Linked DNA regions of Cricetulus griseus. The protein of the gene in region 1 purifies or fractionates together with the protein of each later gene. This does not show direct contact. Links are inferred from orthologs where the notes say so. Each region holds a gene or a part of one and is shown on either strand. Other genes may lie near its edges. The genes, in order: Klf6 and Sp1.

The links.
Region 2: the proteins of Klf6 (region 1) and Sp1 purify together in Homo sapiens (affinity purification with western blotting, with the first as the bait; 3 studies listed by BioGRID). This does not show direct contact. The link is inferred for Cricetulus griseus from reciprocal best matches to the Homo sapiens genes KLF6 and SP1.

The regions. Positions count from the first base shown.
Region 1 is NC_048596.1:230,511,978-230,528,131, forward strand, and holds the start of Klf6 (Krueppel-like factor 6), read left to right. Parts: upstream 1-7,725; 5' UTR 7,726-7,848; coding exon 7,849-8,052; intron 8,053-10,940; coding exon 10,941-11,514; intron 11,515-12,778; coding exon 12,779-12,902; intron 12,903-13,380; coding exon 13,381-13,432; 3' UTR 13,433-16,154.
Region 2 is NC_048595.1:398,791,285-398,806,916, forward strand, and holds part of Sp1 (transcription factor Sp1), read left to right. Parts: intron 1-9,011; coding exon 9,012-9,180; intron 9,181-13,941; coding exon 13,942-14,141; intron 14,142-14,541; coding exon 14,542-14,855; 3' UTR 14,856-15,632. UniProt on the Homo sapiens protein: Transcription factor that can activate or repress transcription in response to physiological and pathological stimuli.

The DNA.
Region 1 (16,154 bases):
CATGTCTACAGTTCTTGTGGGTTTACTTATATATGAAGATTAGAGGTCAACTTTTGATGCCTTCCTCAAGCACTCTCAGCCTTATTATTTGAAAGACTCTCACTGAATCTGGAGCTCAGCTATTATGTTAGACTAGTTTTCAGCAAGCCCCCAGTGAGCCTCCTGATCAACCTCCATAACAGTGGGATTACAGGTGTGAGTCACAACAGTTAGTCTTTAGACAACTTGCATGAGATATGAACTGGGCCCTCATGTTTGTGCAGCAAGAGCTTACCAAGGAAGCCAACTTCCCAGGCTTTCCTTTTGAATGTCAAAGCATGCCCCCTTTAATCACAGTAGTTCTCACTCCATCAGCCAGAATTCAGTCTGTGTTCATTGTTCTATGGGGGCAGGTGGGCATTTGTAGACAGTTAAATGCACAGGGTCTCAGTGTGCCAGTCAACTGATGGGGACACTTGCAATTGTCTGTGCAAACAGATCTCCATTCAGACCCAGAACATGCTCATTCCTTGGAGAGATTCCCCAAGGCCCCTTCCACATCAGTTGACAGCTTGCCCACCATAAGGATCAGGCCTGGCAGTTCAGTTCATCAAATATGAGTTGTGTCTCTTGTAGACTTGGGCTTTGAGTCTTGTAGGAAGTCATCGTGCAAGCAAAACTTCTACTTCTTTGTTCCTGATGTTCCTGAAACACACTCTCAGAATTGTCTCAGAACATGGCTGCCTGTGTTTTCTGGAATAGTCAGCACATCTTACAGCACCATGTGATCCTGCCATGGACTCACCAGGACTCATTTCTTTTTTTTTCTTTCTTTCTTTCTTTCTTTCTTTCTTTCTTTCTTTCTTTCTTTCTTTTTTCTTTCTTTCTTCCTTTCTTTCCTTCTTTCTTTCTTTTTTCTTCTAAATAAATTGCTATGAACAGTATTAACCTCTTTGGGGACATATTCATTCACTTCTTTTGGTTCAATTCTTGAAAGATGAAAATGCAGAACGAGAAACTAAGTGCACATTCCATTTGATTTAAAGGGGCCATACCTTTTCCATAGTGACTGTGGAGTATTTATTATATTCCCACTAAGAGTACTAGAAAGTGCTGGCCACTCACTGAACTCTTTCACCAACTTTGATGTTAATATTCTTCCTACAACCAATTCAGTTGATTTTGCTGCGTATTTCCCTGGTTAGGGATGTTGTTGACCACTTTTTCTTATATGTTCAGTAAAGTATGATTTCAAATATTTTGATCACTTTTTATATATAATTTATTCTTCACTACTATATGTCATGTGTATATCTTGGACACTTGTTCAATTTTAAATGCACATTTTAAGAATATTTTCCTCTCAATAGTCTATTGTCTGCTTACTGTTGTCTTCAATAAAGTTTCAATTTTTGATGGGATCTAAATCCATTAAAATTATCTTTCTTGGTGATATTGTTTTCTGTTTCCACCCAAGGAGGTGTTGCTTTAGCTTCAAACCATGGTATTATTGTTACAATATTGTGAGATGAGGACCTTGGGGGATTCCATGGCAGGTGAGGAACAAACATGCCAGGCAGACAGAGGTTAAGTAAGAAATTTTATTAGAAAGGGAAAGGAGCTGGGAGGGAAAGAAGATAAATGGGGGAGGGTGGAAGACATAGAAAAAATCCTGTCTGCCCCTTCAGAGGAACAGTGGGAAAGAGAGAGGAAGTGGGTGCAGATTTTCTCTTAAAGGTCCCTTGCACCTGCCTGTAGAGTAGTAGCAGCTGGGCTGCCCAGGGTACTGCCTGAGTGCATTCTGCCATGTGACAGGGCAAAGTCCAGCATAATGCCCAAGCCCTTAGAATTATGTCCATTTGCCATGCCATCCCCTTTGGGAAGATGATGATGTAATCATTTTCATTTATTCAGTATGTATCGTCAATGTGTCTACAGTATGAGGTAAGGTGTATATCTTTTTCCCCATTTCTCTCTCCCCCTTTGCTTACTGTTTTTTTTTTCTTTCTTTTTATAGCCTGCTATGTATTTTAAGGAGTTCAGTCATCATGTCATCATGACTTGAGGACTTTCCTCTCCTGTTGGACTTCTGGATCTCTACTCTTAACAACTGAGAAAAGTCCCAAAACATGTCAGGTAGCCTATAACTTTTCTTTAACTTGCTCAAGCATGCTGGTCAGAAAGTCCTTACATGACTTGAATCTGGAAGAGGCTAAGACACCAAGAGAGGGTGGCTTTGATAAAGAGAGAGGAGATATCTGCTAAAGACAGAAACAATGAAAACTATGAGAACTCCTTACTGGCTGTGTTTGGGCTAGCAGGGACAAATGGGATTCCAGCCTCACATTCTAGCTTTTCTCCACATGCCTCCACCAGGTGTTTACGAGGAGGGGAAGGGTAGGTAAGGTAGACTGAAAGGGCTTCCTCTAGATTTCCAGAATCTTCTCTCAAAAGAAGTGCTTCTTCAGTGCTGGTAGAAGGCAGGATCCCCCTTGAATCCAAGTTCCGTAAACCAGGAAGCAGGTTTCCTGCCTGACCAGGGGAGGAGAAAGTCACTTCCAACCATGCCATCTACAAGAAAACTCAGTGTCTGAGGGGGGAAGAGCTGGGAAATGTCAAGACGCTCCAGCCCCAAGCCCACATGCACAGAGATGACCTAACCGAGATCTATAGGCATACCCTTCTGCCCCTAGGAGGCTGCTCTCTTTTCTGCTTCCCACCCTGTCTCCAGGCACAGTAGGAATGCAGGAATTGAGAAATGGGAGCTAGACATACACTGGAAAAACAGCACAAACAAACCCAGGCACCCAGGACCCTGCAGTAAAAAAAGGCAACCGCAGTCACTTGTGAAGTGAGTTGTTTTAATGTTTCATCTCATTATTGGTTTTACAAAGAAGGCTACTAAAACAAATATTATATTTATATGTATATAAATACTTACACACAGATAATTATATGCAGACACACATGCAGACAGATATACAAACATAATCACATAACACATATACACCTATACACATCTATACATTTGCATATGCACACACACACACACACACACACACACACACACACACACTAGACATAAACACAAACACACTTCCCTGCCAATACTCAAGCCCTTGCAGTCCTTGTCATATGGTAACAAATTAAGTTGAATGTTTACTGGAAGCCACTAGTATGGCACTTTCCTTCATTAGCTATCTCAGTACTGACAGTTATTTTAAAGAGTGAAAGTTTAAATTTCAACAAATAGAATATTTGTGAGACTTTACCTAACACATCACTCAGTAAGTGAAGTTTTGTTTTTCATTTTCAAAGGAAAGTTCATTATTTTTTGAGAGGGAAATGCATGGGGAGAAGGCAACTCATGCTTTTGACTAGAACCATCTGGAAATGAGATAGTAGATGAAGAGGTACATTTTAACTCAACACACCCATCATGCAACAACTCACGTGTACTTTTAAAGATGGGATTTTTACAGAACAACTCAAGGAAACAATCAAATGAAACAAACACAAATCAAGTTGCTGTGGGAGAGGGGGATATCTTGTTAAATATGCTCCAAACAAACAAAACTGGCTTCTGAACCATGCATGAGAATGGTCTTTGCCCATATAATTAGGGGGGTAGTATTGCAATTACCTTTGACTAGTCTTGTAAGACCCCCTTTGAATTTCCTAGGTGAACAAGAAAGTCAAAACCTAGTTACCATCTACGGATCTCTGAACTGAAAGCTCAGTCTATTTATGAACTTCATTTTAAACCATTGGTTTCGCTACAAAACGCAACAAAGGGAACTTCATGGTGAGAAATGAAGGAGCTCTGCATGGAAGCATAAGAGACAGAACAAAAGTGAAAAAGGGCATGGACACAGTGGGCATGTGAGGAAATAGCCCAGAGTGCCAGGGAAGCTGAGCCCTCTGCATTTAGGACTATGCCACCACACAGACTGGCTTGTGGGAGAGAGAACCAGATGAGGGTGGGTGAGAAAGGGATCATCCTCCAGGAGTCCACCACTTATTAGGATTGGGCAGCATAGGGGGGTGGGGGGTGGGTAAGAGATGGGGGGTAGGGGTGAGTAGAGATCTTCAGCTCCTGACAGAATGAGCTCTTACTGGAGTTACTGTATAGCCCCAGGCCCAAATTTGCTTCTTATCTGCTGTGTGATCTGCACAGTGGATATCATTTTAATGCCTCATCAGCCATAAATATCAAGAGCAAAGTTGAAAATGGAGCACGTTCAATGAGTTAATATTGCCTTCAACTTATGGCTTATATAGAATGGGGGTTTTAATACATTATGATTTTTGACATGCCGACTCTCAGTCCCCCACCAACTCCCAGTGTTCATGAGGTGGGTAAACATGCTGGTAGATTGCAAGGGTATCCAGTCACATCCCCAGAACCTTCTTTCAAAAGAAGCAAAGGCTGTTGAAGGTCAAGATTTCACCCCCTTAAACCCAAGTCCTATATCCAGCCATCAGTTTTCTTTCCTGATCAGAAAAGAAGAAACTCACGTTCAATGACCACCATCATTCCTTTAGAACATACAAGAAAGCTCAGTTATTTGGGTGAAGGAACAGGAAGGCTTAGAAGGCCCCAGTCCCAGAGCCCTCATGCTGAGTTGACCTAAAGTCAGATCTGAGGACATACCCTCCTGCCCCTAGTAGCCTCCTCTCTTCCCTGCTTACACCCTGCCTCCAGCCACAGTAGGAATGTAGGAATTTGGAAATATGTGCACAGAAAGATACACTAGAAGAAGCACAAAACCAGATACTGGGGACCCCCTAGTAAACATAGGCAGCCACAGCTTGTATAGTGGTTTGGGGATGGTAGGCATTGTGATTCCCAGAAGCACTCTACCACTGGTGTATCCTCAGCCCCTTTCTTACTGTTTTCAAAAGTTGTTTAAGACTTTTGAAACAGTCTCATCAAGTTTCCCAGACTAACCTTGAACTCACTCTGTAGAGCAGGCAAGCCTTGCTCTTTTGCCTCAGTCTCTCAAACAGCTGAGATTCTATGGATATTTTCATCAGACCAGATGAACTTTTTTTCTCTTCAGATATACTGGCCAAGGCCAAATTTATGGATAGTTTAAAGTCATGCTTTTCTTCCATCCATACTTCCCCATCTGAATGCCTCTGACCTATGTGTTTCTGTTAGGCAGTTTAAAAATCAGACATCATTGGCCCTGGTGTTGGTGGCTCACACCTTTAATCCCAGCACCCTGGAGGCAGAGGCAGGCAGATCTCTGTGAGTTCGAGACCAGCCTGGTCTACAAGAGCTAGATCCAGGACAGCCTCCAAAGCCACAGAGAAACCCTTTCTCGAAACCCCGCCCCCCACAAAAAAAATCAGACATCATTTGTAATACTCGGATCACATGGATAGTCCTTCTTGCATACGAAGCCAAAACTGTTTTCCCATCAATAGTTAAATGCTCAGGAATACAAGCATTCAAACGTCTTTGGAGCCCTGCCCCTTACCCCAACTATGACATGGACTTTTGCCTGCTTTGTAAATCTATGTGTACCTGGCCAGTCACAGGATGTGAATAATATGTGCTGAATGCCTAATGGGAGCAGCAGGAAGTCACACAGTTTATTCTACTTGGAATTCATTCAGGGGATGAATGTACTCTACTTTTACACTAATTTTTTTCTGAAAGTCACAGTTTTGATTGTATCTCTATTAATGTCCAATTAAATCCAGTCTTGTAAAAATAAACTATGCAAATCTTCTATTTAACTGGCAGTGCTTGTAAGAGACAAGGAGAAATTTTGGCATTCTATAGGAATGTAAGGGACTGTGTGAAAATGATGACTAATTCTCTATCCAGCAAGGGAAGTTTCAATATCTTCATTATGACACCCCTAAGGAATTACAGACTCCTCCATGCTTTATTAAGGCCTTCACTTAGTGTCATATACTTTCACCTCATCCTTTACCATGTGTACTGTCATGTTGGCTTTCATTCATAGATTTGATCTGATTCTTGCTTCCTTTGTTAATTCCAAAGGCATAAGCTTGCTACTAATTATAAAGCTCTAGGTCCATATAAGGGCTTCGCTGGGAAGTTAGTTCACCCTATGTATGTGTGTCCTAAAGCCATTTCCATTCCCTTCCTGGAAACAAAATATAAACACATAACTCAGAGAGGGACAGGTTTGCCTCTTTGTCACTAGGGTAAATGGGATGAATGAAGGCCAATGGTCACCTTCATGTATTCCAAACAATACGCATTCTTCTTCTTTTTTTGGAAAGATAGCTTTTCCCAACTTAGCACTCATTAAGTATGCCCACCTAAGAACCTTATAAGCTTACAGTTCTGGTACATGCATCTGTTTAGACTTCTAAAATTAAATACGAAAAATCTTCTAAAATTATTTTACATAGTTTATGTTTAAAAGGATACTATTCATTAAGTATTACTTTTGAAGTTGTCATAATTGGTTTTTGCTGTTGTTGTTGTTTTACTCAAAAATATAGTTGCTCAGTCTTCATTTTTTAAATGAACATCATGGTGTGCTTTAGGAGACAATTTATATGAACAGAAATTAATGTCAGCTTCAGCTTAATTTAAATTGTTTACACATCCTCGGGAAAGCCTGCTAACCTGGTGAGGCATCTTGGAGCCTGCCTTCCGCAAGATAAACAGATTTCTACCCCATATACAGCAGAATCTGTATCATATTAGAATGAGAGCCGTGCATCAAGCGCAAGGGCATTTTTAAGCTGGAGATGCCTAGCAATCCAACTTGGGGTGGTGCCAGGTCATCCGTGTGAGCTTGCTAAAGCCCAATCGGGTTGTTTGGGGTGCTATCTTAAAAGCTGCGCTTACAACTTCCAATAGATAAAATTCATTCCAGAGAATCTGAGTGTAACTAACCCACGGGTCAGGTAAGGCTCTTTCTGGGTGCTCCCAAGTGTGGGTTATTTTGGAGAACGAGCGAGTCTCGGGATCCCTTCAGCCCCCTCCCAGGGATCCAGACAGAAATTACCATACAGGGACTCTAGTGCACCAAGTTCCCCTGCTGTTTGTTCCTACGGTCCCATCACTACACAGGGATCCGCGGGCCTGTTTGCGCCCACTCCGGCCACCTCAGTATCTCTGAGTATGGAGAGGATTCCGGACAAAGAGAGAAATCAGGGGACCAAGCAGAATGGAGGGTGAGGGAAGGATCAGGGGACACCGGCATCGAGCACAGAGGGACGGATGAAGTGAAATAAGGGGACCGGGCAGATATCAGCTCCCTTGTTTTGCTGGGTCCCGGTCCGGGTGACGGGATCAGAAGGTGGAACCGGGCGGCTGGGCGGCGGGGACAGGTGCTGGATTGCCCCGGCCAGGTTCCTCCAGCTCCGGCCGCACATTCTCCGGCCGCACATTTGCGGCGTTCGGCCGTGCACCTCCCAGCGCCGACTCCTTCGGCGCCTCGTAGCCCTCGCCATTTATACCCTGCTAAAAATAGCCTGCGAGTCGTCTTCCCAATCAACTCAGGCCGAGTTCGAATTGCACCAATAGAGAGGCCCGTAATGGAGAGGCTCGGTCACGCCAGGCGGGGCCGCCTTGTGTCCGCACCGGCGATTGGTGCAAGCTGACATCATCGTCGCGCTGCCCCCGGGACAGGCGCGGCCGGATTGGGTATCACTGGGGGCGGAGCTCCAAGCTGGTCACGTGGGGGAGGAGGAGTGGGGGGAGCCAAGCGGGGGAGGAGGGGGGAGGCTGGCAGCGGAGCTTTGAATAGGGAAGTTTTGCAGGGGTTACGCTTGCAGTCAGTCCGCTGTTTGCAAATATTGCGTGGGCTCGGCGCGCTGCGGGCTGCGGGAGGGTCCGGACCCGGCGTCCGATTGCAGCGCCATCCAGTTTGCATGAAACTTTCACCTGCGCTCCCGGGGACAGTTTCTGCTCCGACTCCTGATCGCTCTCCTCCCTGTTTTCCCGACAGCGAGGACTGTCTTTTCCAACCCGACATGGATGTGCTCCCAATGTGTAGCATCTTCCAGGAACTACAGATTGTTCACGAAACGGGCTACTTCTCGGCTCTGCCGTCCCTGGAGGAATATTGGCAACAGGTAAATACGGATTTTTTTTTTCTTCACGTGCCCGGTGCGCCGAGAAGGGAGTCTCGCGGAGGCGCAGGCAAGATGGTGTGTGCTTGGAAGTGCATCTTTTAAATAATGATTAGCGTTTGCCTAATTTAAAAAAATAAAGTAATGATCTTAAGATGCCCTTCTGTTGCCTGAAATGATGAAGGCACAGTAAAGCGAGCCTTCGGCGGCTAGGACTAGAGTTGTCATTTGTGTGGAGGCGAGCTCTTGTTCCCGGAACGTTTTTCTTTATTTCTTTATTTATTTTTCTGTTTTTGCTAATTCCGAGCTTCCAAGCGGCATCCACCTGAGGGGAGGGAACCCAAGATTTCTCTGCCGAATTCAGACCGGAGCCGTTGGCACAAGTTTGGGGCTTGTACCAGCTCCAAACTCCACAGCTGGACTTTGTCATATGAACGAGCTTGCCTTTACTGCCAAAAGATTTGATTTAAAGATTTTGTTTTGTTTTGATGTTTGTACACCCAGTGTTTTAAAGTATAATATTTCGCCTGCGGAACGCAGCAGCTTTTTTTTTTTTTAACTCAAGGCCATTTGCAGTTTCTTTTCCTTCTGGATAAATTCTTACATTCGCCAATGTCTGCCTTGTTTTTCTTACCTGCTTTTCTTGTTGACTGCGCGGCGGGTGTGTGTGGGGGGGGGGGCTGTTTGCACACAAGTGACTTGTCAGTCATATGACAATGAGTCCATTCCTAATTGCTTCGGGTCTTACTTTGGGGAAGAAAAAGATCTCGATTTCCGGCATTTTAATGGAACTAGAATTTGGGGCAACGGAAATAAAAGCCCCCCCCCCCGCCCCCCATTCTAAGTCTTAGGATTCCCTTAATGGCGTGACAGTCTCGAACACTTTTTACCATTGTCTCTAAAACGATGGTTTGGTGGATGTCTCTCTACCCTTCTGGGCTGGCTTTTTTTTTTTTTTTTCCTCCAAGTGAATTAGCAGATGAAATATATTCTGTGGGTTTCACAACCTCCCTGCCTTTAAAACGCATGAAAAGCGAAGTGCTGGCTGAAACCTCCACATGCCGGCTTAATTGTTCACAATCCTCTCCTGCCTTCTTCTCCCCCTCCTGGTTTTTCCTCCTCAAAGAAGCTGCTCCCTGGGACGTGATTGAAATTGATCTTAGTAGTTTCCTTTAGGCATTTGGGATTTGGGCAACAAGCCAGACTTGGCTCCTGGTCCCCTTCAGAGCCTTTTAAACTCCCAGAGAGCTGGGATCAGGTCCCCACTGCTCATCAGCATAATGGAGATTTTAAATTAGCCAGTTGATTAAAGTTTAACAAGATCTTCATAAATGTGCTCGCCTTTTCTTTGGAACATCAATAATATGTATCACCACCTCGATTCAGAATACTGTGTGCACTGTAACAGACATCGAATTTTGGGGGGAAAGAGAAAACAAGAACCCCCCACTCCACCCCCCCCCCCTTTGACTTGTGCCTGCTTGCTGTGTGAAGCATCTACAGGGAGGGATTAGGATCTCTGTATAGTGTGATAGAAGGCATTGTTTAGTAAGCATTAGCCCTTTTGCTGGTAGGCTGTGCTCAAGATGGTCTGTACCCTGATAACAATTTGTTGCAGTTTGGTTTCGAAATTTCTATCTGTAGAATGGAATAGTCAGCGGCACAGACATCCTTATATGGGCATGCAGGCAAGCCTAGTGAAAAATCAGGGCCGACATAATTTAATCCTAAAATGTTTCCTACCATTTTTCTTTTCCAGTGGCTAGAAAGTTTGAAATGGTGGGGAGAGGGGATGCTGATCTCTGCAGTTGTGTAGCTCCTTGAAAGGTTGGTTGCGGGGCTGGGGAAGGGGCACCCTGTCCATGGCACACTGCATGTATATTTGAGCCGGGTCCTTATTTGGCTGCTGGTCAGAATTTCAAAAGGAAGTCTCCTTTGGCATTGCGTGAAAGAAATAGGAGTGATGACTCATACTGTTGTACTCTTGGCCAGGAGATAAAGTCCTTGTTCATTGTGGGACTCCCAGAAGGGCCAGGGAGTAATTTCCCCTTTCCATCCTTTACAATAGCAGATGGCCATTCTGGAAGAATTCCTCCACTTGTGTTGTTGAGGTTTCTTGTTTCCTTCTGACCACAGTGAAGAAATCATTAAAGTTTGGTGGTATCCACAGCCCTGTACTTGGGAAATGACATTTAAAAATATACGTAGATATATATGTATATATATATATATATATCCTAGGTCTTAGTTACACAGGACATGGGAGGGTTCTCTTCCAATCTATTGATGTCCCTGAATACAGACAGATCTGCTGTCTGCTCTCTGACTACAGCCAGCCCTATATTGTCAGCTGTGTCCCTAAGGGGTGGGGGGGTCTTCAGACCATACTGTGTGCTGTGCAATCTTTCTGTCCTGTTGTGTGAATACTTGTGGATGGCTGGGGCTCTCAGTGATGCTCCTGGTTCTAGAGAATGTCAAACGATCTGGTTAAACCTGTTAGGTTGGTGGGAGGGGGTGTGATGTGTGGAAGGCTGATTTTCTTTGTGTGGTTTACCAGGATCCTCATTAGCAATGTCAACACTTGTAACTATAACAACAAAACAGGCCCAGTGATCATCACTCATTGTGGCCATTGGTCCAACACTGAAGAAACCAAGAGAGGCTTTACCTCTGCTTTTCCTTCGTATTCCTAGAAACAGCTTTTCTCTAGCATTCATGAGGAAATAGATTCCCATTACAGAAGACTTTGGCCCATAGTACGTGGCCCAGAAATAATTTATTTGTTCTTTGTTGCATGTTTTCTTTCTTTCTTTTTTTTTTTCTATGTGCTTTCAGTTCCACTTTCAGTAGTCGTAACAATCACGTGCCTTTTTGTGGTTCATTCTGCACAGACCTGCCTGGAGTTGGAACGCTATCTTCAGAGTGAGCCCTGCTACGTGTCAGCCTCTGAGATAAAATTTGACAGCCAGGAAGATCTGTGGACCAAAATCATTCTAGCTCGAGAGAAGAAGGAGGAATCAGAACTGAAGATTTCTTCTAGTCCCCCAGAAGACTCTCTGATCAGCCCCAGCTTTAATTATAACTTAGAGACCAACAGCCTAAACTCTGATGTCAGCAGCGAGTCTTCAGACAGTTCTGAGGAACTTTCACCCACGACCAAATTTACCTCTGATCCCATTGGTGAAGTCTTAGTCAGTTCAGGAAATCTGAGCTCCTCCGTCATTTCCACACCTCCTTCTTCTCCAGAAGTGAACAGGGAATCTTCTCAACTATGGGGCTGTGGGCCAGGAGACCTACCCTCACCAGGGAAGGTTCGAAGTGGAACTTCTGGGAAGTCTGGTGACAAGGGTAGTGGCGATGCCTCCCCAGATGGCAGGAGGAGGGTACATCGATGCCACTTCAACGGCTGCAGGAAAGTTTACACTAAAAGCTCCCACTTGAAAGCACATCAACGTACTCACACAGGTCAGTCCCCTCATGGGGCCTGGGAGGTCAGCCCCTGGTGGGCGCCAGTGAATTGCACCAGCCCTGGGAGGGAGCCAGGGCTCCTCAGGATGTGGTCACAAGCAAGGAAATCCTCACTTCCTTAATTCCTGTCACCAAGGAATTGGGTCTTTTTGGAGTTCAGAGTAGAATCTTAAAAGACTGGACATTTGAATCAGATGAATGGGTCATGCTTTCAGATTAAACAAGAGGCCAGATCACATTCTCCATCGACACTCAAACCTTCACCCACTCGGTGCTCATTTCCCCATTGTACATGCATCGTGCTATGTTGGGTTGCTCCTCATTCTATGTCATGTAAGTCCAGGGTCAGGACAGAGGGTCCTTGGGCAGCATGGAGTTTGCTAGTGTTGACCAGGGGACATTTATTGTGAATACTGTGTCACACAACCACTTTAAACAAGGGCTTTCTTAACTCAATGCCACCACTTAGAATGAAGTTCTTGTTTGTTTGAAACTACCAGTACAACATACAGGATATGAGTGGAAGGATCGCAGGAAAGCTCCATGTCATAAATTGTTACCTTATGGAGATGATAATCAAATTCTGGAGAGATGAAGTCAGGGTCCTGAAAAGGCACAGAACTTGGGAGAGGATGTGAGTGTTCCCAGGACAAGACAGTTTTGACTCAGGTTGGCTTTAGCATTATTTTTACTCATAGGTAGCATTTTATTTAATTCATAGTTATAATTTAGCTAGGGGGTGATGTCCATTTGGTTGTTTGATTGCCATTTAGAAACTGATCTGAAAGTCTCTGGATGAGGTTTCTCAGAAACTCATGACTTGAGTTTTTGCAGCAATGTAGAAGGTCCCGGATGGACGACTCATTCCCCAGGGAAATGAGTAAGGAACCAGATTGTGCTGGAGGGGGATGTCTCCATGGAGAAAGCAATAAATCTCAACTCTCAGCACGGCTGTGGGTCCTGCGGGCCGACACCTCACCCTGCAAATATGTCAGCTATCTGAGTAATTGTCATTGTTATGAGTTAACTCTGATTTTGTCAAACCTGGATCCTTGGGACAACAGCTTGAGTGAAGCTTCAGGCTAGGTTAGGAAAGAACCTATGCTTGTGACCTTTAGCGTGCCAAAGGTACTGTCTCTGTTAAAACATATGGTGAAGTCTGTAGGCTTCAGGGGTCTCACAGTATATATTGTTGAGTCTTCTCCTTCCTCCCTATCATGTCAGTGGAATCATGGTGCCTTGTCATGTGCTCTCTTCCCAGGAGAAAAGCCTTACAGATGCTCATGGGAAGGTTGTGAGTGGCGTTTTGCAAGAAGTGATGAATTAACCAGACACTTCCGGAAGCATACCGGTGCCAAGCCTTTTAAATGCTCTCACTGTGACAGGTATGTCAGGGCTTCGCAGGAAAAAAAAAAAAAGTGGGATCATGGGAGACTACCAGAGCCGAGTAGTTGTGTGCAATAGAGCCTGGAAAGAACGCCAACAGTTTCTTGTTATTTGTTGGCGTTTCTTTTAAGTCTGGGGCTTTTTCAAAAATCAATGACACATTGACTGTCTCTTAGGAAACTGTGTGCCAGGTTTCTACAAGAAAAATGTCTGGGGGACGATTTTCAAAATGGGCTCCAAGTTTTCAAATTCAAAAGCTGAGGGATGAGTCCAGTTTAGACTCTGCCATGGGACTTCTGGGACTTCCTAGCTATTTCTCCAAGACCTCTTGGAATTTGTATTTCTCTCCCTTGGGGTTCCCTGTGCCTAAAAGTATTGGCAAGGACTCAGAGGAATTGTACACAGGTGTGGTATCTGGTCTATCAAGAAATCCAGGCGGCAAAACCTAACTTCCTTGTTTCTGCCTTGCCCTTGCAGGTGTTTCTCCAGGTCTGACCACCTGGCCCTGCACATGAAGAGGCACCTTTGAAGGAGCAGAGGGCTGAATCCTGTAGGCTAAAAGAGGCTTCCAGGCTGAGAGGCGGCCATGGAAGGAGGGATGCCTGTACCAGCCAAAGCATGCCATTTTGCTTCCTACCCAGTTACCTCCAGGGGCCTCTCTTTGGAAGGTCTTTTGAGGGCTACAAAAGTCATGTCAGAAGCGGCATAGCACCCACGGTGCATGGTGTTTGGGTGACCCTGGACTCGCCTCGCCACTGGTTCCTAACCTTCTGAGAGGCTCCCAGAGCCTTTTGCCGTGAGCATGCGCACTGAGAATGTTAATGGGTGGGATGACTGTATGTTGAGGATCTATTACCGACTGTATGGTGAGGCAGACTTTTTTTTTTCCCCCTTGTGGTAGCAAATAACTGCAAGAGACAGAAAAAAAAAGCAGTTTGAATGTTTTGTGTGTGAGGAGTATTCCAAGGGATGAGTTGACAACCAATCATTTCCTGAAGGGTGTCTGCACCTTAGAAAAAATAAAAAATAAAAACAAACAAAAAAAAAAAATTTAAAAAAAAAAAAAAAAAAAAAAAGAAGGAAATACTTGGAGGGTGGGAGTGGGAACTCAGGACCCCATAGTGGTGAGTGTTAAGGGCAAGGGGAGTACCTGTCCCCCTTTCCTGTGTGAAAGGGCCTTCTGGTGTCTGGTGCAGCTATAGAATGTGCAGTGTGTCAAGTAGCTTGTTTTACTGGCTACACAGAGCTCATTTGTAACCCATTGTATAAGCTGTATTTACAAATAACAGTGGTCATTTTCCCTTATAATACAAAAAAGTCGTGCATGGTCTGGGGGAGCTATAAACTTTTCCATTTTTCAATCGGGTCTCCAATCTTGATTCCAATTAATAAGCAGCTATAGGATTCAGTTTGTTTAAAACAATGATTCCTTAAGCCATTTAGGCCTGGCAAGACACGACCCCCAGATCCGTCTGTTTTGTGACACTCCCCGTGCAACATGCTATTGTGCAGTGTAGGGTGTATTTTTAATGACTCAGAATTTGAACTTACTTTTTGGAGAATCTTAAGGTGCCCTTTGAAGAAATTGGACGCGTGTCAAATGTCTAAATGCTTGGGCCTGGAAATTACTGGTCTAATGCCACATTAGGCTAAGAACATAAACTGTTTTTTCTCAGTCGGGTGGATCAAACCACTAAGCTTAGAAACCGTTTTCTCATGCAGCTATGTCTCTCTTATTTATGCCTTGAGGACTAATTCTGGTTTTCTAGCTGTTAATGCACTGTTGACCTTCATAATGGTGCCTTATGCAACTGGCCCTTCTGTGGGGTCAAATACAGGGGTATGGGTGATGCATGCTTAATTAAGGCTCTTTTTTCACCTGGCATTGTACTGTATGATGTATAATATGGAAAAAAGAAAAAAAAAAAACAAAAAAACAACAGAAAAAACCACCTCTTTAAGATCCTCCACAATGACAAATAGGTGAAAACTCCTTTGACATGTCAACATGTGTTCATTTCCAACAACTTGACTGTCAGTGTTAAAATGGGAAAAAAAATAGACATGATAATTGAAAACTAATTCTGCTACCATGAGACTCTTTTAGAGACCTTGCACAATTGTACAGATCACACACACCGGCTGTATTTATTATGTAACATTTTCACACATATTAAAAATACAGAAGTATAAAAAAAATGTCAATATTTTGCTCAAAAGGCACAAGTTTTGAGTACCTGTCTAGCTATCTGTTGGTAATACTGAAAGTATACTGCTTTTTTTTTTTTGAAAAAAAGTGGATGAAATTTCTTGTGTATGTATATTTGTGTGTATAGTATGTGTATGTATGTGTGTATATATATATTATATATAGATAATATATAAATATTTTTTTAAGAAGAAACTAGAATGTTTAGCTAGAAAATTCTACAGCCTGTGAAGAAGTATTTCAAAATGGCCATAAAGGAGGTTAAAAAAATTTGAAAACTATAACCTAACTTTTATAAAGGCTTTATCTTTTATTTAATGATTTGCTGAAGACATTTTCGGTGTTGATTCTATTCCACCCTGTTGATTTTGCTAGTCATTATTGGCAAGCCTGGAATAGGGTACCTTTGGCCATTCACAAGGGGCAGGAACAAAGTGCTGCTCAACCAGCTGGACTCACACACACACAAAGGTTTGCATTTTACTTTCAGCCTTACTGGAATATCTCACCTAAGAGTAAGCTGATCACAGGGATTGTTTTTTAGAATACTTTTTATGCAGATGAAACTATTTTTTTCCAGCATGTAGATTCTCCCAGCTTTTTCAAGGAGTACTTTCCCGGAATTGGCATACCGCAGCATAGACAGCTGATGTTTCTGATATTTCATCCAGCTGCTGACTTTTTGGGTGTGGATCTCATATATATATATATATATATATATATAATATATATATATGAGAATGAGTCTGGCTGGGCTGGTATTTTGTTTGATCTTCCTGGAAATGAGCAATGATTAAAGCTCACGTAATTGTTTTTTGTTTTTTGTTTTTTTGTTTTTGTATCTGGGCTGATGAATACATTTCTCTACAGAACTGGTTTCATTTTGCTTAAGGGGAAAATGCACTTTTGTTTGGCAGTTCAGAATCCAAGCACTTGATATGCTGGATTTTGGAAAACTCCTTTTTTGGCCCTGCTGTGCTTATCCATAACAATTCCATTAAGTAAGAAGGTAAACAGAAGAGAAAGAAAACTTGTGCTGGCT
Region 2 (15,632 bases), on another chromosome or scaffold:
TAAAATTTATCATGTAGGTCAGTGTGTGTGTGTGTGTGTGTGTGTGTGTGTGTGTGTGTGTGTGTGTGTGTGTGTATTTTGAGCTAGTATATTTGGGGGGAGTTGGACATAGGGTCTTTGTTTTTTGTTCTGTTTTTTGTTTTGTTTTGTTTTGCTTTTTTGGTTTTTTGAGACAGGGTTTCTCTGTGGCTTTGGAGGTGTCCTGGTACTAGCTCTTGTAGACCAGACTAGTCTTGAACTCACAATGATCCACCTGCCTCTGCCTCCCGAGTGCTGGGATTAAAGGCGTGTGCCACCACGCCCGGCTTGTTTTGTTTTTTGTTTGTTTCTTTGTTTTGTTTTTTGGAGACAGGGTTTCTCTGTATAGCTCTGGCTGTACTAGGACTCCCTTTGTAGATGTTGGCCTTGAACTCACAGAGTCCTGCCTGCCTCTGCATCTATAGTGTTGGGATTTAAGGTGTGTGTCACCCAGTAGTGCACAGAGTCTTATTCTGTAGCCCAAGCTAACATAATTTACCTGTAGGAGCCACTAACACTTAGATCTAATTTATAATTAAATACAATAAAAAGATTAACAGAAAAAAGCCTGGCTGTGGTGGCCTACACCTTTAATCCCAGCAATTGGGAGGCAGGAGGCAGGTGGATCTTTGTGAGTTCAAGGCCAGCCTGGCCTACAGAACTATACAGAGAAACCCTGTCTCAAAAAACAAAAAAAAAAAACAAACAAAAAAAGGAGGTATAGTTACATAGAGACTTAGACTTCCAGCTATATAGTTGTTACAAAATATCTTATTTTATCCTCTTTTCTGATACAGTATTGCATACTAGAAAACTCTAACAATACTTTCAAACTGTTCCCAGTACAGTGTAGTAGAAAGCCCATTGAATGTGAAACAATCTTTTTTATTTATTTTCTTATTTTTTTTTAAGACAAGGTTTCTTTGTGTAGCTCTGGCTGTCTTGGAACTAGCTCTGTAGAGTGCTGGGATTAAAGGTGTGGGCCACCACCACCCAGTGGTGGCTGATTGTGAAACAATCTTTATGTTCTGAAATGAGGTAGGTAGCCATAGAAACTACAGCTTTGGGCCATATTTGGGTTCATACCTTGAATTACAGTATTCTGGAGGCAGAGGCAGGCTGAGGAGGTCAACCTGGATCTATATAATCCAAGCCAGCCAGGGTTACATACACAATGACTCTTTTCTTAAAAGAGAAAATGCTTGGCAGTGGTGTGGCATGCCTTTAAACTCTGCACCGGGGAGTCAGGCAGGCAGATCTCTTGAGTTCAAAGCCAGCCTGGTCTACAGAGCGAGTTCCAGGACAGCCAGGGCAACACAGAAAACCTGTCATGAGAGATACTGAAGACTATAGTGTTCCTCATGCTCATTCATTTTGTCTGTTTACATTTAACATAAAAGATAACTTTTAAAATGCTTGCTTAAGGTTTCTTGTTGATGTTTATTCTTTCCGTGCTGAATACCCAAGCAAAGGCATAAATCTAGAACCAAGATAAACTCATACTTTTGTGTCCCATGTTTTTCATTCTTTGCTCCTGGTGGGTGGTAGTAGTGAGGGAAGGGACCACCCTGTTAACTGAGGTTAGTTTCCAAAATGAAATGATACATAGATTCCTAGAGTTATTTTTTGTTAGTTTGGCTTGTTCTGTTTTTAAATAAACCACAGACTTTTTTTCTTTTTTAACCAACACCTTTGTCTTTTTATCAGTAGCCTTTTCTCTCATTTTATATTCTTAATTTGCAAATCTCTCCCCTCTCAGCCTCTGTCAAACACTGAAAACTTGCTTTGGATGTGCATAGGGGCAGCTTTAAAAAATTGAGTTTGGTTGAATGTTTAGGAGTTCTAACAGAGAGAGAACATAGGGCTGGGCTTTGGCATGAGAATAAACAGATTTATCTTGATGTCTATAATTCACTCATGAAGAAAATTTCAGGCACTAAAAATAAAAATTCTACATCTTCTAAGTTTTATTAGGGTCAGGAAAATGTTTTGTCCTAATAGTTAAGTTGAATGTGATACTGGGATTGGTTTTCCAGCAGTCTGACTAAAGTTGGGGTCAGATTGCCGACCTAATTTGTTTAAAAAATTTGTGTTTTCGACTAGTGACTGTGAACATTAGAAATCATTGTAAAAATGTTTTCTTTTTTCAGAGATGGAGTCTTAATTTGTAGTTTAGATTGGCTTGAGACATACTATGTAGTACAGGCTGGCTTCAAACTTGTGGCAGTCCTCCTGCTTCAGCCAATGAATGTTGTTGGGATTACAGATAGGAGCATGCACAATCAGCCAGAATTAGCGTTTTGTACCAAAAAATCATATGAGAAGCATTTCTATATGTATTATCAGCCAGGTAGTGGTGGTGCACACCTTTAATCCCAGCACTCGGGAGGCAGAGGCGGGTGGATCTCTGTGGGTTCGAGACCAGCCTGGTCTACAAGAGCTAGTTCCAGCACAGCCCCCAAAGCCACAGAGAAACTGTCTCAGGAACAAAAAAAAAAGTCTGTTCTTTCTGTTCTCTCCTCTCTTCTATTTCCAGGGTGTTATGTAACACAGGTTGCCCTCTAGCTGTGTAGTGGAGGCTAAACTTCAACTCCTGATCCTACAGCCTCTACTTCTCAAGTTGCCATGATTAGGGGTTTAACCTCAACACCCAATGAAAACTGTTTCTGTGTAAATGTTTTTTAAAAATGATTTATTTATTTTTATCTTATATGCACGAGTGTTTTATATGTCTGAGGGTGTCTGATCCCCTGGAATGGAGTTATAGATAGTTGTGAACAGCTGTGTGGATGCTGGGAATTGAACCCAGATCCTCTGAGTTGCCAGTGCCCTTAGCCATGGAGCTGTTAGCTGTCTCTCAGAACCCCTTGTAGAAAGCTTTTTTTTTTTTTTCTTAAAGATTTTATTTATTTATTTTGTGTACAACATTCTGCTTCCATGTCTATCTGCACACCAGAAGAGGGCACCAGATCTCATTACAGATGGTTGTGCGCCACCATGTGGTTGCTGGAAATTACACTCAGGACCTCTGGAAGAGTAACCAGTGCTTTTAACCTCTGAGCCATCTCTCCAGCCCCCTTACATGTGCTTCCATGTTTTTTAGGCTGTGAGTTGTTTATAGAAACTGGGCAGTATTACCTGTTATACAAGTTCGGATTTGCCTAATTTTTGTTTGCCTGCCTTAGCTGAATTAGTTTGAAGTTTTTTTTTTTTTTTTTTCAACAGGAAATACCTAGGTTATAACAAGGATTTGCTTTTTTTTTTTAAGATTTTATTTATTTATTTATTTATTTGGTTTTACGAGGCAGGGTTTCTCTGTGTAGCTTTGGAGGCTGTCCTGGAACTAGCTCTTGTAGACTAGGCTGGCCTCAAACTCACAGAGATCCACCTGCCTCTGTCTCCCGAGTGCTGGGATTAAATGCATGTGCCACCACCGCCCAGCATAAGATTTATTTTTATTATTTTATGTTTATGAGTGTTTTGCCTGCATGTATGCTTGTGTGTCACATATGTGCTGGGTGCAGGAGGTTGTGAACCTCCATTTGGATTCTGGTCTTTTGAAGCAAGTGCCCTTAACTGCTGACCCAACTCTCCTGCCCCCAAAGATTTGTTTTTTAGGAGATGAGGGAACTTTTCACTAAGCAGTGGTGGCATACATCTTTAATCCCAACACTCAGGAGGCAGAGGCAGAGGCAGGTGGATCTCTGTGAGTTTGAGGCCAGCCTGGTCTCCAGAGCAAGTTCCAGACAGCCAAAAACAAAACAAAACAAAAACAAAAACACCACGAGAGAGAGAGAGAGAGAGAGAGAGAGAGAGAGAGAGAGTGTGTGTGTGTGTGTGTGTGTTTTGAGGGTGGGGGAGGGAATTTAAGTTCCGACCTTTCTTCCTTTAGCCTTCTCCTTTCCCTACATTTTATTTATTTATTTTCAAGGCAGGTTTCCCAGACATACTTGGGACTTGTGTTTGTCTTGTCAGCTAGTCTGTTAACCTGAAAACTTCCTCTGTCTTCTTGTTTCTGTCCAACTAAGACCTAGGGTTACAAGCGTGCACAGGACAGTGATTGTTATGTGGGTTCTGGTACCTGAATCTAGTCCACATGATTGAGCTGGGAGCATTCTTTAACTGTAGAGCTTTACTTGAGCACACCCACATTCTCTGTTGGTGTGTAGAAATATGCAGAAACCAGAGGTTAACATTACGTAACTTCCTCAGCTACTTTAAAATATGTCTTATTCAGTAAGATTTATTGTTTTATGTGTATGTCTTACCTGTGTGTATGTGTGTACACCACATTTGTGCCTGAATGCCTGAAGAGGTCAGAAGAGGATATCAATGAAAGCAGAGTATTACAAGCGCCAATGAGATATTGTTCAGGGATACTGTGCTCATGTTCTCTAAGAATGTACCTAGAGAAGAAATTATAGAGGGTATGGAATGGATAAATGACAGTTTTTTTTGTTCAGTTTGGAAGTTTAGTTCATAAGTGTTTTAAGTTTTTGTTTTTTTGTTTTATTTATTGTTTTGTTTTTTTGGTTTTTCAAGACAGGGTTTCTCTCTGTAGCTTTGGAGCCTATCCTGGTACTCGCTTTGGAGACCAGGCTGGCCTCGAACTCACAGAAATCCACCTGCCTCTGCCTCCTGAGTGCTGGGATTAAAGGCGTGCGCCACCAATGCCTGGCTTGTGAACTATTTCTACTTGTATTTATGTGCTGCTATTGTGCTAGAGAATGAATTGATGCTGAAAGTACACAATAGCCAGGAATGGTGGCTTCTGCCTATGAATCCTAGCAGTTGGGAAATTGAGACAGGTTTTTCAAACGCTTTGTTTTATTTTACTCTCTGAGTAGCTGAGGCTGTCATTGAATTCAGTATGTGACAGTGACCTCAGACTGACCATATTCTTGTCACTTCACTTTCTGAGTGCTGGAATTACGGGTATTCGGCATCATGACCTTCCTTTCTAACCTGTACTCTTTGATTCATGATGATGACAAAACTCAAGCTTTAGCTGGGAACATTATCAAAACTTACAGTTAGGGAACATTACCAAAACCGAAATTAATATTTAGATTTAATGGAGAGACTTCCAAAATATCTATGTTCCTAAAATTTGTTCAGACCCCCTCTTTTCTCCTTTTTGTCTTTAACTATGTAGGAGGGTGGTATAACGTTTAGTCACAGTGACATCTAGTGGTGAAAGCCATTAACATTTTTTACTTAACCATATGGAAAACTACCCATTTTTAAATCTACCAAAAAAAAAATTTAAAGAAAAAAAGAAATGGTAGCCTGGTGGTGGTGGTGGCGCATGCCTTTAATCCCAGCACTCGGGAGGCAGAGGCAGGCGGATCTCTGTGAGTTCGAGACCAGCCTGGTCTACAAGCGCTAGTTCCAGGACAGCCTCCAAAGCCACAGGGAAACCCTGTCTTGAAAAACCAAAAAAAAAAAAAAAAGGAATGGTAATATACCAAAGAGAGAATTATACAGTCTAAACTTTTGGTTCCATAGATATTTTCACTGATAAAAAAAAATTACGGAAAATATAAAAGGGAGGGGAAAAATAATGCTTCCCATCACAATTTGTAGCATGAATTCTCTTTGCCCTTAATAATAAAAACTTGGAGTCAAGCTATCAGGGAGTGAAAGCTGAAGGATCAGAGAAGCAGAGCAACTAGCCACTAGAGTTCTTATCTCAGTGCTCAGATCAAGGGGAGATCCTGTCCTCTCTCTGCCTAGCCATATCCCTTCCTATCTTTGCCTCCTTAGTGCTGGGATTAAAGGCATGTAACTCCCAAGTACTGGGAATAAAGGTGTAAGCCACCACTACTTGGCTGTTTCTCTTTTGGACTGGATCAATTTCGTATAGCCCAGGGTGGCCTTGAACTCACAGATCCACCTGCCTCGTCTCTTCCCCAGTGCTGGGATTAAAGGTGTGGACACCACTTCCTGGCCTCTGTGGCTAACTCGTATGACTAGCTCTTCACTCTGATCTTCAGGAAAGTTTTGTTAGATCATTTAAAAAAGTATATCACCCCAACAGTCACCAATTAAACTATTGTTTGTGTGTGAATGCATGACAGGATAACCCTTTATAGCCCAGACTGGCTTTGGTTTTACTATCCTCCTGCATATCTGCCTGCTAGTGCTGAAATTACAGCCATATTCCATTCTTCTCAGCATGAATATTCAAAGACTTTTTTGTTTTTTTTTTTTTTGTTGTTTTGTTTTTTGTTTTGTTTTTTTTTGTTTTTTTTTTTGGTGTGTGGGGGTGGTGGTTTGAGGCAGGGTTTCTCTGAGGCTTAGGAGGAACTAGCTCTTGTAGACCAGGCTGGTCTCAAACTCACAGAGATATGTCTACCTAGTACTGGAGTAAAGATGTGTCTGTGTTTTGGGGGGCGGGGGTGCCGTTCAAAAATTTTCTTGTGTAATTGAATAATTGGATTTTTTTTTCTTTTTTTTTTTTTTTTTTTTTTTTTTTTTTTTGAGACAGGACTTCTCTGTGTAGTCCTGGCTGTCTTGGAGCTCACTTTGTAGACTAGGCTGGTCTACAAACAACTCGGAGACCTCTGCCTCTGCCTCTGCCTCTGAAATGCTGAGATTAAAGGCATGGGCCACCACACATGGCCAGAGAACTAGTTGGTATTTATTTATTTAGGTTTTTTGAGGCAGGATTTCTCTGTGTAGCTTTGGAGCCTGTCCTGGAACTCCCTCTGTAGACCAGGCTGGCCTGAATTCACAGTGATCAGATTCTCCTCTCTCTGCATCCTAAGTGCTGGGATTAAAGGGGTGTGCCACCACCACCCAGTCCCAGAGAACCAGTTTTAAGTATTTATGTAAAATACATTTAAGTTTGTATATCATAACCAGTCATTGGTGTGCACAGACCAGCCTGGTCTACAAGAGCTAGTTCCAGGACAGCCTCCAAAGCCACAGAGAGGGCTGGAGAGATGGCTCAGAGATTAAGAGCACTGACTGCTCTACCAGAGGTCCTGAGTTCAATCCCAGAAACAATATGGTGGCTCACAACCATCTGTTATGAGATCTGGTGCCCTCTTCTGGTGTGCAGGTATACAAGGAAGCAGAATGTTGTATATGTAATAAATAAATAAATAAAATTTAAAAAATAAATGATTCAGGAAACATTAAAAAAAAAAAGCCACAGAGAAACCCTGTCTCAAAAAAAGGTTTGTGTATCAAGTGTATGCCTGCTGCCCATAGAGATCAAATCCCCTGGAACTGGAGTTACAGGCAATTGTGAGCAGTCAACATCTTTCCAGCTCCCATGCCTAGGTTTTTTTCTCCCTATGATGCCCAGTGTTTTTTTCTTTGTTTTTCTCAGAGATCTATGCTTGCTCTGTCATATATTCTCAGCCCTCCTCACATTTTTGGGGGGGAAAGGAAGGGAGAGGAGGTTTTCATTAAGTTGCCCATGTTATCTTCTGATCTCTCTGGCACCCCAAATACATGCAGTACACTCATACACATAAATGAATTAAAAATACTCTCATCAGATTGCTTGTAGACAAGTATGTAGGCCATTTTCTTGACAGGAGGACCCAGCACACTGGGGGATGGGTCTCTCCTGGATAGGTGGTCCTAGATAGTCTACCAGAATAAGCAAGCCTTGGAGATTAAGCCAATCCTGTCTCTCGGTTCTTGTATCAAGTTCCTGGCCTGATTTCCCTCATTATGGAGTATGATCTAAGAGTTGTAAGATAAGATAAACCCAGTTCCAGGACACCCTACAAAGCTATAGAGAAACCTTGTCTCGAAAATCTCAAAGAAAGGGCTGGAGAGATGGCTCAGAGGTTGAGAGCGCCAACTGCTCTTCCAGAGGTCCTGAGTTCAATTCCCAGCAACCACATGGTAGTTCTCAACCATTGGTTATGAGATCTGGTGTCCTCTTCTGGTGTGCAGATACACATGGAAGCAGAATGTTGTATACATAATAAATAAAATCTTTAAAAAAACAAAAGAATAAAAGAAACCCCCCCCCCAAAAAAATGAAATAAATCCTTTGCTTCCCAAGTTGTTTTTTTTGTCATGGTACTTATCACAGCAAGATGACAGATAAGAAACCAGAATCCCAAGTAGAATTTTTGGAAATATATGGAAACTAGCCTTCAGACTGGTAGAATGCTTGCCTACTATGTGGAGGCCCTTGGCTCAGTTCCTAGAATGGTGATTTGTTTTACAGTTACTGACATTTTAATTTCATCATGCTTTAGTAATTCCCAAGGTTTTAACTTTTAGGTCATGGCTTTACCTACACTTCTTTACTTTGAAGAAAATAAAAAGATATAACATTTATAGTTGTTTCAGAAATGGATGCTAGAGGTAACAGCTCAGTTTGCCCAAGACTGTCATTAAACTGCCTCTGGTTTCCTAGTTATTTTCATCACAGGAAGGCCAATCTTTAATTTATCTCATTGCTTAACTAGTACCATATTTTAAGATTAAACTGTTCTTTTCTAAAACTGTTATTAAAAGGGATGGGGAACAAATTCCAATATGTTGATGTCATGTTGACTTTTTTATTTGACATGGGTCTTACTCTTTAGCCAAGGTTAGTCTGGACCTACTATGTAAACTTAAACCTGTAATCACTTGGGAGTCCCTCAGGTACTTACTTGGGAGGTTGATTCAGAAGCCTAGGAGTTCAAGGACAACCTGGGCAAAGCAAGACCTTATGTCAGATTATAAAAAGAGATCTTGATGCAGTGGTGCCATATTGGCTAGTGAGATGGCTCAGCAGATAAAGGCATTCGCATCAAGGCTGATTGATAGCCTGAGATTGATTATTAGAACCCATGTGGTGGAAGAGAACTGATTTCTAAATGATGACCTCTGGCTTGGACAAGCATACTACACACACCACTCATGGAAGAAAGAACTGTAATTAAAAGTTGGTACTGTGAATGTAATATCAGTGATGTTTCTATAGCTGTTCTATCCTGTCCACTGCCACCTTTCTCCTTTTCTTTTTATTTCAGGTGATCATGGAGCTCAACTTGGCCTCCATGGATCTGGTGGTGATGGGATGCATGATGAGACAGCAGGTGGAGAAGAAGGAGAGAACAGCCCTGATCCCCAACCCCAAGCTGGTAGGAGGACTCGGCGGGAAGCATGTACATGCCCCTATTGTAAAGACAGTGAAGGAAGGTGAGTTCATTCTCTTGAATATGGAGTTTGTTTTGTTTTTGAATGTAAATAAATTAAAAATGGACTTAGAAATAAGAGGGAAAGGGCATATATATATATATATAATATTATAATATATACATATATACATATATACATATATACATACATACATACATACATATATATATATTCAAGACACAGGGAACTGGGCCTGGTGGCGCATGCTTTTAGTTCTAGCAGCACTTGGGAGGCAGAGGCAGGCCTGGTCTACAAAGTGAGTTCTGGGACAGCCAGAGCTTTACACAGACAAACCCTGTCTTTAAGAAAAAAAGCAGGTGTGTGTGTGTGTGGTTGTGGGTGTGGGTGGGTGTGGGTGGGTGTGGCGGGTAGTAGCTCCGCCGTTAAAGAGTAGGCTCACAACCAAAAAAAAAAGGAACGAAGAAACCCAAAACAACCCCCCCAACAAAAAAAACAAACAAACATTGGAGGGCTGGGTGTGTAGCTCAGTTGGTAAAGGGCTTACCTAGCATTTATGGAGTCCTGAGTTTGAATCACAGCACTTAATAAAGCAGTGTGGTCACACATGCCTGTAATTGCATGTTGTCTGGAGATGCAACACATACATGTATCTACTTAACCCCAGAGTGTATTGTATAGAGAGTGTATAAAGTGAGGGTTTTGACACCAGGTGCATTAAGTGCAGACATGACCTCTCCAAGGTATGGTTGAGGGGAAGGTTTTTATTGTAGACATGAGGAGAGTACAGTCAAAGTCCAGAGCGGAGAGAGAAAGTAGTAGACTAAACATGGCCAATAGATTGGACCCAGCCATGAGAGAGAAGCGGGGAAGAGAGTGGGAAAGGAAGATAAAATGTGAGAGGCAAGAGAGTGCATATTGGAAATGACAGGGTTATATGGGAGCGAGAAGCTTGGGAGGAAAGTGATCTGGAGAAGTATAGGGGTAGTGGTGGGGTAAGAAGAGCCAGGATGGACTCTGTAACAGGTATTTGCTATGCTGAGAGAACCTGGAGGCTAGCATGTGCTTTGATGTGCTAATGGGCATCACAGTTAGCCATTTGGACCTAAAAAGGATCCCATGACAGACCAAAGTATGGTAGCATCAAAGCCCAACTTGGTGAACCAGTGAGTTTTATTGGGATTAGTTAAAGGAATATGGGGTGAGGGGCTACTTACAGAAAAGGAGTAGAAGGCTGAGCATTGGTGGTGCATACCTTTAATCCTAGTACTCGGGAGGCAGAGGCAGGTGGATCTCTGTGAGTTTAAGACCAGCCTGGTCTATAAGAGCTAGTTCCAGGACAGCCTCCAAAGCAGTACAGAGAAACCCTGTCTCAAACCTCCCACCCCCACAAAAAAAAGAAAGAAAGAAAAGAAAAGGAGCAGAAGTGACTCAAAGACGTCTGAATCACCAAAGCCTACTCCAGCATAGATGAGTTTACAAAAGCTGAAGAACTGGAGCATGCAGGCAGCCAGTATCCCTTCTGTCCAGATCAGTTGGTCTAAGCCCCTTCAAGGCAGCTCTCTGGGCTCTTGAGAGTCTTCTCCTTGCAACTTGGCTTGTCTGAGAGTAACTCATGGCTGGCTGGCTTTATCTTTTACTCTTGGAAGGGACCTAGTGAATCTGATCAGTTTCAGGGGCTTCCTGAAACTGTTTTGAGTTGTTCATCCTCTGTTTTATGGGAGATAGTGTGTTTTAACCCCAGAGTATATTGCTACACAACATCCTTGCACTTGGGAGGTGAAATCAGAAATATATTTTATATTTGGTTCTCTGGCTAGGTGTAGTGGTGCATGCCTTTAATTTTAGCACTCAAAGGCAGAGAGGCTGGCGAATCTCTTGAATTTGAGCCCAGCCTGGCCTCCAGAGGTTTTTGAGACAAGGTCTCACCATTCAGCCTCATAGAGATCTCTTACTTCTGCCTCACAAGTGTTGGGATTAAAGACATGCTGCCACACTCAACAGTCCTTATTTTATTTTTGGGGGTGGGGTGGGGTACAATGTTTGACTCTTGTGGAACTCACTGTTCAGACCAAGCTGGCCTCACATTCACAGAGATACTCCTGCCTCTGCCTCACCAGTGTTTGGACTAAATATGTGAGGCACCACATCCAGCTCCTTATTTTATTGTACATGGAATCAGGTTCTTGCTACAATATCCTTGCTTGGCCTTGAATTTTTGGTTCTTGTGCCTCATTCTCCCAAGTAGCTGAGATTACAAGGATGAACCTCTATTCCTTCTTTCACCCTTAAGATTTAGGCCTGGAGTAATGGCTCAGGTTTGTTTTGTTTGTTTGGTTTTTCGAGACAAGATTTGTCTATGTAGTTTTGGCTATCCTGGAACTTGCTCTTGCACATGAAAATAAATAAAAAGAGAACAAGGGCTAGTAAAATGCAGCTTTGTGGTACAGCACTTGCATTTCAAAAAAGTATGCAAGAAAGTCAATGAAGCCAGGTTTGTTAGTGATTCACATCTGCTACTTTAGCACTTGGAAGGTATGGACAGTAAATTGCAAGTTTGAGAATAAGTCTAGTCCAAAAGCCACTTCAAGACCAACATGAACTGAATAAAATAGGCTGTCTCAAAAAAAAAAAAAAAAAAAATCTCATGGAACAAGGCATAATGGTACGTAGCTGTAATCCTCATCACCCAAGAGGCAGAGGCAGAGGCAGAGGCAGAAGGATAACCCTAAGTTTGAGGCCAACCTGGTCTACAAGTTCCAGGGCAACGGTTATACAATGAGGCATTGTCTCAATAATAGGTAAGTAAATAAATAAACTCACAAGCTGGAGATGAACTCAGTGGTAGAACACTTGCCCAGCATTCAGAGTCAATAAGAAATCAAAACTAAAAACAAGAGCTGCATAATATGACCTACTCAAATGTACTATATTAGCCTTTTGCAGCATCTGACCCCACCTCCCAAGTGCTGGGTTGCAATGGCTGAGTATTTAAGGGCAGTTGTTGTTCTTGCAGAGAACTAAAGTGGCAACTCACAACCATCTGTAACTCCAGTTCCACAGGATCTGGCACCCTCTTCTGGCCTCTTTGGCCACAAATATTCATGCAGGCAAAACATCAAATAAATAAATCTTAGAAAAAGATTTCAGGCTGGTCAGGAATAGTGGCACATGTCTTTAATTCAAGAGTTGGGTGGATCTTCATGAGTTCCAATCCTGCCTTGTCTACATAGTGAGTTCTAGTTTAGCTAGAGTTTATACAGTGGAACCCTAGCTCAAAAACAAAACAAATACATGTATATATAGATTTAGGACTATAATTGATCTCTCTTTGGCCTAGAGAAGTCAGATGGAGCTAGATAGCTTAATGATTAATACCAAGTATCTGTTGTTTCAGTAAGATTTCTTATAGCTGGGAGGTCGCAGTGCACACCTTTAATTCCAGTGGTGGGGATAGGGGTGGGGGACAACACTGAGGCAAGTGGGTCTCTGTGAGTTGAGTCCAGCCTAGTTTACAGATAGAGTTGCAGGACAGCCAAGGCAATACAAAAAACCCGTCTTGAAAAGAAAAAAGAAAAAGATTGTTTGCAAAACAGCAATAAATAGAAACCTGCTTCTTGTAATGAGTCCCCCCCCACCCCACCCCCGTAGCTTTAGGAAAATTACATGTTTTAACAGTTCTGTTATCACTCAAAAAGACAAATATATTTATTCCAGGTGCTTTTTTTTTCCTTGAGTCACGCTTTCTCTGTGTAGCCCTGACTATCTTGTGGACCAGGCTGGTCTTGAACTCAAGAGATCTGCCTGCCTCTGCCTCCCAAGTCCTGGGATTAAAGGTGCTCCATCACTGCCCATCTCTTAATCAAGATGTATATTTTTCCACCAAGATTTTTCTTTCACTGAATTTTCTAGAGATTTGCTCATTTTGTGTATATGAATGTTTCTTGAATATATGTATGTATGCCACGTGCATGCAGATACAACCTGTGGAGCCCAGGAGAGGGCATCTGATTCCCTGAAAAGATTCATTTGCTTAGTTGGGAAGCTGTGTATCATGGTATACATATAAAAAGTTGGAGGATCACTTGAGGGAAGTGTTCTGGGGATTGAATTTAATGTCATACTTGGTGGCAAGAACCTTTACCTGCTAAGCTGTCTTGTTTCCTCCTGAATATTTTTTTCTTACTAGCCTGTAACAGTTCTCTTAAGTCTTACTCTTTTCTTTGTAGTCACTGTATTTTCTATGTAGCCGTGGCTGTCCTGGAACTCACTTTGTAGACCAGGCTGGCCTCGAACTCACAGAGATCCACCTGCCAGTGCCTTCCAGGTGTTGGTATTAAAGGTTGATGCCACCACTGTCCAGCTTAAAAAAGTACTGTTTTGGTTTTTTCGAGACAGGGTTTCTTTGTGGCTTTGGAGGCTGTCCTGGAACTGGCTTTTGTAGACCAGACTGGTCTCGAACTCACAGAGATCCACCTGCTTCTGCCTCCCAAGTGCTGGGATTAAATGCATGTGCCACCACTGCCAGGCTAAAAAATACTTTTAAAAAATGTAAATCTTAGTGACAAGTATGGTGGCACACACTTTTAATCCCATCGCTAAGCAAGCAGAGGCAGGTGGATTTCTGAGTTCAAGGCCAGCCTGGTCAATTTATGGAGTTCCAGTACAGCCAGAGCTATATATAGAGAGATCTGTATCCAAAACAAAAGAATGGGTTAGGTAATTGCTGCTGACACTTCTTGATTCCTTAATTTCTGTCTCCATAAATTAATTATTAATTATTAATTATGTTCTCATTCTTAGAGGCTCTGGAGACCCTGGTAAAAAGAAACAGCACATTTGTCACATTCAAGGATGTGGCAAAGTATATGGCAAGACCTCACATCTCCGGGCACACTTGCGCTGGCATACAGGGGAGAGGCCATTCATGTGTAACTGGTCATACTGCGGGAAGCGCTTCACACGTTCAGATGAGCTTCAGAGACATAAACGCACACATACAGGTATGACCTAAGGGAAGAGAAAAAGAGTAGTAGACAAAGAGAAGACATGATATGCCTATGAAATAACTGAAAATCCTGAACAATTTATACGTGAAACAGTGTGTCTCAAAGAGCACTTGGATTAATCTGGAAGGTTTTAAGAAGGAGCTCCATTTTAAATGGGACTTTTTAAAAAGGTTTTTTCATTTATTATATATACAGTGAGGGCACCAAATCTCATTCAGATGGTTGTGATTGCTGGGATTGAACTCAAGACCTCTGGAAGAGCAGTCTATGCTCTTAACCTCTGAGCCATCTTTCTAGCCCCCCCCCCTTAAGTGGGATTTGAAGGATAAATATCAACCCAATCTTTATTTTGACTACTTTTGAACTAAGTTATCTTTTGCTTTTTTTTATTTAGGTGAGAAGAAATTTGCGTGCCCTGAGTGCCCCAAGCGTTTCATGAGGAGTGATCACCTGTCAAAGCATATCAAGACCCATCAGAACAAAAAGGGAGGCCCAGGTGTCGCCCTGAGTGTGGGCACTTTGCCCCTGGACAGTGGGGCAGGTTCAGAAGGCAGTGGCACTGCCACTCCTTCAGCCCTTATTGCCACCAATATGGTAGCCATGGAAGCCATCTGTCCAGAGGGTATTGCCCGTCTTGCCAACAGTGGCATCAACGTCATGCAGGTGACAGAGCTACAGTCCATTAATATCAGTGGCAATGGTTTCTGAGATTAGATACCTAGAGCCAGAGACATATGGGCCAATACCCACCAAGCCTGGGATGCAAGATAGCATGGGTCCAAGAGACATGTGGAAGAGAGAGCCATGAGGCATTAATGTGCTTGGTGGTGGGAAGAATTGGGGGAGGGTACAAGAGAAGAGATGGGATTGTGGCACCAATCTGTCACTGGTGACTTCTTGAAAATGGAAAATATTAGTGAAATTTCTGTTGGTGCCACCCTTTGATAAGCATTTATTTCATCCCAGGTTCTTCTTACACTTCTTACCCCAGCCTCCCCTTCCTGCGTTTCCCCTCTGAGCTCTCCCATGATGGATCCCCACTCCCCACCCCCAAAGCCATCATGCCTTGATAAATATATATGATCATTGAAATACTTTTTAACAAAAACAGATTCTATATTATATATATATATATAAAAAATATATAGAGATGCTTTCACAGGGGTTGGCTGGGAGGAGGAAAAAAGACCATTTTGTGACCAAAAAATACCTTGGTCATTTTTTTTTTTTTTTTAATATTGCCTTATTTCTCAATGGCTGAGCCTTATCATGACACATCAAGCTTTTCTATAAATGTTGTCCTGGCATCCCACCAGAGTAAGCAAATGCTGTGCTTTTAGTTCATATATACATACATAATGTGTCTTCTTCCTTAATTTTTGTCATTTTATTTGGGATCAGCTCCTTGCGCTCCTTTCCTGACTCAGTCTTTTTTTTTTCTCCCCTTCTCTCACATGATCACTTCCTGTGTTGTTTTTGACAATG